2 linked regions of the Caenorhabditis elegans genome follow. The protein of the gene in region 2 interacts with the protein of the main gene of each other region in a biochemical or structural test. Each region holds a gene or a part of one and is shown on either strand. Other genes may lie near its edges. The genes, in order: bkip-1 and slo-1.

Region 1 (3,795 bases), on a different chromosome or scaffold from region 2:
AACGCAGGTAGGTAGGCAGGCACGTCCGCCTGTATGTATATGCACCTACCATGGAAGCCCAAAGTAGGTTTACAAATAAAACCTTAATTTTCCGCAAAATCAGTAGGCAGGTATGTAGGCAAACAGTTATTTTTGTTTTTAATTTTCAAATTAAAAATAAAATGAAGTTGTTTGTTCTGAAATATTTTCTTAAAAAAAAACAATTACCGGAAAGTTGAAAATTTTATTTTAAAATTTAAAACTTAATAATTTTCAAACTAATAGTAAGTTTTCGTAGAATTTTTTTCATTTAATTTCTGACCCTTTCCTCTACAGTACCCCATTGTACAACCCCATTAACCCCTTAAAGCTCGTCCTTTTAATCCACCCCATGACAAGGCCAATTTTCTCATAAAGCCTCCAAAAATTCCACCCCGTGGCAGTTTAATTTGTGCTCTGCTGTGCTCAAAATGGCTATACAGCTCATAAAATTTTTTTTTCGGGGGGCCGCCCATATTATTTCCAAGAAAACTTTTTGAAATTTTATGGGCCATCGAAATTTCGAGAGGAAGTTCTGGTTTTTGCACTTTCGAGACAAACTGATCTCTGCGCCAATTCTTTAATCTGTTTTGAAAACAAAATTGAACTTTTCAATTTTTTTTTTATCCGAAAACTGAAAAACTTTAATTCGGATTTTATTTCAAAACTTTTTTTAAAAATTTTATTTCAAAGCTAACCTATCGACCTTGCCTGCCTTCCGTGCCTACTAACCTACCGACCTTGCCTGCCTCTCGTGGCTACTTACCTACCGACTTTACCTGCCATCCGTGCCTACTAACCTACCGACCTTGCCTGCCTCCCGTGCCTACTTACCTACCGACTTTACCTGTCTTCCATGCCTACTTACCTACCGACTTTACCTGCCATCCGTGCCTACTTACCTACCGACCTTGTCTGCCTTCCGTGCCTACTAACCTACCAACCCTGCCTGCCTTCCGTGCCTACTAACCTATCGACCTTGTCTGCCTTCCGTGCCTACTAACCTATCGACCTTGCCTGCCTCCCGTGCCTACTTAACCTATCGACATTTTTTGCGTCAAAAGGCAGTAGGTCGCCTTCAGGCTACCTTCTTTTAAAACATGAGAAGATGTTCCCTCTATTATTTTAAGCTTTTTCAAGCAGCTCCCTAGCCTGAAGCCTTCCAAAAAATCAATTGCTCAGGCATGTGACCGCTTTCAGCTAATCTCATTACCTTCTCGTGTGAAATTTCATTTTTCTTTATGTTTTAGCGTTTTTTGCTGGTTTTATTGGTTTTTATACTACTGATTTTTAAAATTGAAATTTTTCAGAAATTTCAAAAAAAAAATGTTTTAAAAAATTTTCTAAAAATTCTGAAAAATTTTCAAAATTGTTTTTACTGAAAATTTCAAAAAATTTCCCAACAAAAGTGACATCATCATTTCTCAAGCCCATTCATCTCTGAAAAACTTTCAGTTCTCAAATTTCACTTTGCCCTTTTTGTTTCCCATAATGTCTACATTTTTTCAACTTTTAAAACTCAAAGTTCAATTACCCTTTATTTCAAAAAATAATTTCAAGAATTTCCAGAATTATCAGCCAAAAATGTATATAACAACATCGCGAGTGAACAAAATGCAGCCTGGCGAAATTCTGACGTGGATTATGTTCTGTTTCACAGTAGCTTTGGCACTAGGCGTGGTCGCCTATTACAAGTTTTGCAAAAAAAGTATCTTGTAGTTTTTGCAGTTTTTGTAGTGTATAAATAAAAAAATTTCAGATCCTTATGCTCATCATCATTATCAAAGGCCTTTGATTACGAAAAATTAGACAATGATTTCAGTGAGTTTGGAATTTTTTGATAAATTGCCAAATTGTCAAGTTTCAATTGTCAATTGTCAAATGACCAATTTGTTATTTGACAGATGTCAAATTGTCAAATTGTCAAATTGCCAAGTGCCATCTTGTCAATTGTCAAATCTCCAAGTTGTCAATTGCCAATTCGGCAAATTGTCTAATTGTCGTTATGGAAAATTGTCAGATAGCCAAGTATAAAATTGTTAATTGTCAAATTGCCAATTGTCAATTAATGTCAACAATTGTCAATTGTCAATAATTGTCAATTTGCCCATTGTCAATTGTCAAAAAGTAAAATTGGCAAATTGTCAATTGACAAAATTTCGAATTTTCAAATTGTCAATGATTGTCAACCATTGTCTAATTGTAAATTGCCTATTGTCAAAAGGTCAAATTGGCTAGTTGTAAATTGAATAATTTTTGAATTGTCAAATTATCAAATTGTCAATTATTGTCAAATTGTCCATTGTCAATTGTCAAAAAGTAAAATTGGCAAGTTGTCAATGGAAACAATTTTCGAATTGTCAATTGTCAACTGAAAAATTTTCCAATTGTCAAATTGTCATTTATTTGACAGAAAAAAACAATTTTAAAAATTTGCAAATCGAAAAAAAAACTTTTTTCCCTCACAATATTTGATAGATCTAAAAAAAATTTCAATTTTCGAAACCGAACAAATTCTCAAATTTCGAAAATCTCCATCTCTAATGAGCCGGAGCACAAGCTCAGCGGCGTGGTGGTCCACCATGCTAGAGAGCACAAAGAAGCGAGAGACCGCAGACACATCCAGCAGAGCTTCTCCAGCTCTCCACACAAATCGATTATATTTTTGTGCTCACATTTTCTCATTCTGCTTATTGTTTTTTGTTGCTCGGAAATAAATGCCACAAATTGATGGATATTCTCATAGACCTGGAGATGTTGTGGGTTTTTATTTGATTTTTTTGTTGGAAATTTGAAAAAAAAAGGTTTTTGTCGATAATGGATAATTCTGTCAGAATTCAGAAAATATTATGAATTCTTAATTTTTTTGTTAGAAAACAAGTTGAAAAATTAAACAAAATTTCAAATTTAGCGCCAAAATTGTTTTAAAAAAGTCAAAAATTTAAACAAAAAAATTCAACTTTTTTCAGAAATTCCAAGCGGGTGAATGGTACACACTTTACGCATCACTTTTCATGACTATTCTCATAATTGCAGTCGTCTCATATTATACACTTATTGCTCCTGGTAAGCGGTTTTTTAATTAACAAAAATAATGTTTAAATTTAAAAAGCTCCTAAAACCAATAAATTAACAATTTTTCAGCTGAATCAGCATGGAAAGTATCAAAGCGAAAAAAGCAGCAGTGATTGGTATTTGCCTGGTTATTCATCGATCCTCATATTTTATTGATTGATTTTTTGTACATTTTTGGCTTTTCGAATGAAAATTTTAAAATTTGTGGTTTGATAAAAGAAAACGAACAATATTTGAATGAAAAATTATTTTTCTGAACTTTTTTGTCTAGAAATGCGGCAATTGTGACATATGCGACAATTGATGTTCGGCAAATTTTTTTGTCGACAAATGGGCAAATTGGCAATTTCGGCAAAACGGCAAATTTTCGGCTTGCCGATTTGACAGAAACTTTTGGCAAATTGCCGGAATTTTTCAAAGGGATTTTTTATAATACGGAAACACTTGAAACTGCGCCTTTTTGAAATTTTTCCCATTTTTGTAAATGATATTTTCATAGAAATTGCTTACTTTTCAAAATAGATGTAGGAAAATTTATAGGATGAGTACAATTTTGACGATCAAAATCGAGTTTTTGAAATTTCCAAAAAAAATTTGCAAACCTAAAATTTGCTGATAATTTTCAGCAATTGCCAATTTTCCGGCAAATTCGGCTAATTGGCGACTTGCCGGTTTGCCGGTTTGCCGATTTGCCGAAAAAAA
Region 2 (3,924 bases):
TGGGTCACTTTGCGAGACTTCTAGTTGAAAAATTCGAATTCTCCGTAAAATTTGCGTTTCAACAACCCCCATATCGATCATATTTGAGAAATTGGTAATTTTGGCTTAATTCGGCCTCAAACGGCCTGAAACGGCCCGAAATCATTGCATATTTCAAATTTGTCTGAGCATAGGCAATATGGGTGTCAAAATTTTGGAAATTTCACGGAGTGTATGAATTTCCTGTTGAAAATGGTCCCGGAGTGTCCCATGTCCCAAAATTGTCCCCACAGGGGTTCATTTTTGTAAAAATTTTTTTTTTTTTTTTTTTAATTCAGCAAACTTCAAATAATAAAATAAATAATAAAAAAAAATGCGATAACTACAAAAGCAAAAAAAAAAACATTTCCTGAAAGTTTTCGGAAAAATAGAAAAAATGCGGGGTAAGGGGGAACATTTTCCACATTTTCCATAAAAATCAGTGAATTTTTCAGAAAACTTTTGGACTTGCCCTGCGGTCCCGAATACTTCTGTAAAGCTGCATCGCTAGAGAATCCTAAAAATAAGAACAAGCTCCGCCCACTTTTTTCGTGCATATTTTTTTCGGTTTTTTTTTTGAAATTTTTTTTGTTGAATTTCATAAATTTGAAAAAATGTAGAAAATTGAAAATAGACAAAACTTAACTTAAAATAAACAAAAATTAGGCGGGAATTTGAATTTTTTAGGTATTTTTTTAAATTTTTTTTGTTCAAAAACCCACTTCTGTCATCCATCCCAAGTGTTTTTCCTCTTGTTGCTTCAAAAACGGGTCGGTTTCACTTGGCGCGTGCTTCGACCCGTTCATATTTATTTGGACGGCTTCCGGAGCAGGTATGGGCTCCACAAACTCTTTTTCTCGGCGTTGACAGCACAGGTGTGTCACCACTCGCCATATTACGACCAATATCATTGAGGCGCAGAATGTGGTGATGCTGAAAATATTTTTGTTGGATTTGGAAGAGTGAGAGCTTTAAAATACGCCCCATATTGGATAGTTTTGGAGGCGTTTGAGATTTTGGGTGCAAAGCGGTCGCGTCGCGGTCGGAATTTTTTTAAAAACAAATTTTTAATATTGTCTATCTCTGACACTTTTAACTTGATACTTTGAGTTTGTGGCTTCATGAGCTTCAAAATACGCCCCATATTGGATAGTTTTGGAGGCGTTTGAGATTTTGGGTGCAAAGCGGTCGCGTCGCGGTTTCAAAGTTTCAATTTTGAGAACAGACCATTTTGGCCTGTTGAAAATGAACTATTTATGTTGGTTACGTCGCTAGCTTCAAAATAAGCCCCATATTGACTGGGTTTGGAGCATTTTGAGATTTTGGGTCACGCGGCGAGGTTGCGTCGCGGTCGCACCACTGTCAAAAGTGTTTACTCTTGCTTTGAATTAGTTCATTTTGAATTAATTTTCAATAATTTTTGAAGTTTTGTAGTTAATAAAGCCTAATTTTTCAAAATTTGACAATTTTAGTTTTCAACCGCGACGCGACCGCGCCGCGTCCGAAATTTAAAACTACATCAAATTATATCAAGATGGGGGTCAATTGAAAGCTGGCAACCTCAGAAATTCGAATTCACTAGTTTCAGCTCAATATTCCTTACCTGCTCAGTAAAAAACACCAATATTTGCGCTCCTCCAGGCACTTTCGATCTTCTTCAGTCATCTCCATGAATACTCGACTAAGGTTACAATTCATCGGGTATCCATATGGTTGATTGAAGCCCTTCGACTGCGAAGGCGAGTAAATCTCGCCCATCGTGTCGACGAAGGGTCCACCCGACGGCTTTCGGCGAGTCTGAAAATTTTTTGGAAATTTTTTTTTGTCTCAAAAAAAAAAAACTTTTCCCAAAAGCCCAAAGAAGTTTAAAAATCTCATAAAATATGCTCATTTTCTCACGAAGAAAAATGATGTCATCACCAGAAACTAGTGGTGGTGGGGACAAAAAGCGGAAAAAGTAGTGTGTAGAGTGAGAAAAGAATTAGGTCGGAGCAGCGAGGCCTTCCCTCCCGACGAATAAATGAACATAATGGACCAGTTAGGCTGGAGAAAATAGTAGAGACGTAGAGCGTGCCTAGACATATCTGTCATTTTTCCTGACAAACTCCCCGGAAATTTCACGTATCCCACGTATTTTTGACTGAAAATGTCCGGCTCTGGGGGACATGGTGCATCGAGAAAATCGGGAAATTTTGAAAATTTCTATCAATATTCGACTTTTAAACGCAATCTAGGAGTAAAAAGCCGCCTGAATTTGACTTCATAAATGGCTCAACTTCAATTTTAAAAAATGAGTTATTTGCCAAAAAGCCTAAAAAAAAAAGAACATGGTACATCGACCAAAAGCTCAATTTCCTCAAAACTCCAGATTTATAATAGGTATATTTTATATTCTGGTTTTTCGATGGTAAAATGCCACAGGGAGCCCCGCCATTATTCATCGAAAACCAGCAAAAAACTTGATGAATTGCTGTTCTGGAACACAAGTTTTGGAAAAAAATAAATAAATGAACAACAACTTTTTTTTTGCTTTTCAACAAAAAATTTTGGCGGGAATTTCAAATTTTTTGAGAACAACATTTTGGCGGGAAATTTGAATGTTCTGAGAATTAATGTTGGCAGGAAATTCAAATTTTAATAATTTATAATTTATAATTTTATAATTTAGGAAAAGGAATTAATGTCTGAGAAAATTGGTAGGAAATTCAATTTCACATTTTTTCAGAAAAATTTCGGCGGGAAATTCAAATTTTCCTAGAATTAATGTTGGCAGGAAATTCAAATTTTAATAGAATTAATTTTGGCAGGAAATTAAAATTTCTGAGGAACATTTTAGAGGAATGTTCAAATTTCCACAGAAAAACATTGGCGCAAAATTCAAATTTTCTTACAATTAGAAAAATTTTGGCGGAAAATTCAAATTTTTTGAGAAACATTTTGGTGGGAAATTTAAACTTTCTGAAAAAAATTTTTGGCGGGAAATTCAAATTTTCTCTGAAAAATTTTGGCGGTAAATTAAAATTTTTCTAGAACTAATTTTGGCTGGAAATTTGAATTTTCTCAGAAAAAGTTTGGCGGGGAAATTCAAATTTCCTTAGAATTAATTTTGGCGGGGAAATTCAATTTTTTTCAGAAAAATATTGGTGGGAAATTCAATTTTTGCAAACAAAAAAAAGTAGATCAAAATCTAAATTAAAAGTTGAAAATTTATGAGAATTAGAAAATTGAACACATAGTACTTAATGGGTTAGTGTATGGAGCTGGAGAACGTGTGTGTGTGTGTGAGTGTGCAAAAATATCAAGATATATGGAGGAAGGGGGAGAAAAGAAGAGTTACACTACACATTCTCCCCCCTCCTCTCTTCTCATCCCCCTCCTCAACCTTTCTCTGGCTCCCCCTCCCTCCCTGCACAGAGAGATGGATCAATACACCCCTCCGTCCGTCCGGCAATAGCAGAAGCTGCTGCTGCTGCTCGTGGTGCTCCGCGAGCCAGAAGAAGAAGCTGAAGCATTTGGAATGCGTAAGAGATGTGTGTCTGCGTCTCCAACGACCTCATTTTAGGAGGAGAAGCTGCCTGGAAAATTGGCGGAAAACGGGAGGGAAGGAACTTTTTTTGTTTTGGGAATATTCAATTTAACATGTTTAGGCTGGGGGAACTGGAAAAAATATTTTTTTTTGCGTAAAAAATTGATTTTAAAAAATTCAAAAATTGAAAAAAAAAATTTTTTTCAAATTTTTATTAAATTTTGTGTTTTCTGAATCACATTTTTCTTCTGATTCCAAAAACATATCTTTAACAGGTCTCAGCAAAAAACTAACCAAGTTACGACCGGTTTTGCACACCAGAGTGAGGAGGACGCAGAGAAAACAGACACTCTAGCTGTCTGCGCTCTCCACTCTCTCTC

The links.
Region 1: of the proteins of slo-1 (region 2) and bkip-1, one has a biochemical effect on the other in vitro, tested with the Caenorhabditis elegans proteins (one study listed by BioGRID).

What each region holds. Positions count from the first base shown.
Region 1 is NC_003280.10:14,099,661-14,103,455, forward strand, and holds bkip-1 (BK channel Interacting Protein), read left to right. Parts: upstream 1-1,602; coding exon 1,603-1,733; intron 1,734-1,777; coding exon 1,778-1,839; intron 1,840-2,699; exon of another isoform or gene 2,700-2,735; coding exon of another isoform or gene 2,736-2,777; intron 2,778-2,987; coding exon 2,988-3,004; downstream 3,005-3,795.
Region 2 is NC_003283.11:18,490,158-18,494,081, reverse strand, and holds the start of slo-1 (BK channel), read right to left. Parts: upstream 1,777-3,924; coding exon 1,622-1,776; intron 952-1,621; coding exon 741-951; intron 536-740; coding exon of another isoform or gene 491-535; intron 1-490. UniProt on the Caenorhabditis elegans protein: Potassium channel activated by both membrane depolarization or increase in cytosolic Ca(2+) that mediates export of K(+). Its activation dampens the excitatory events that elevate the cytosolic Ca(2+) concentration and/or depolarize the cell membrane.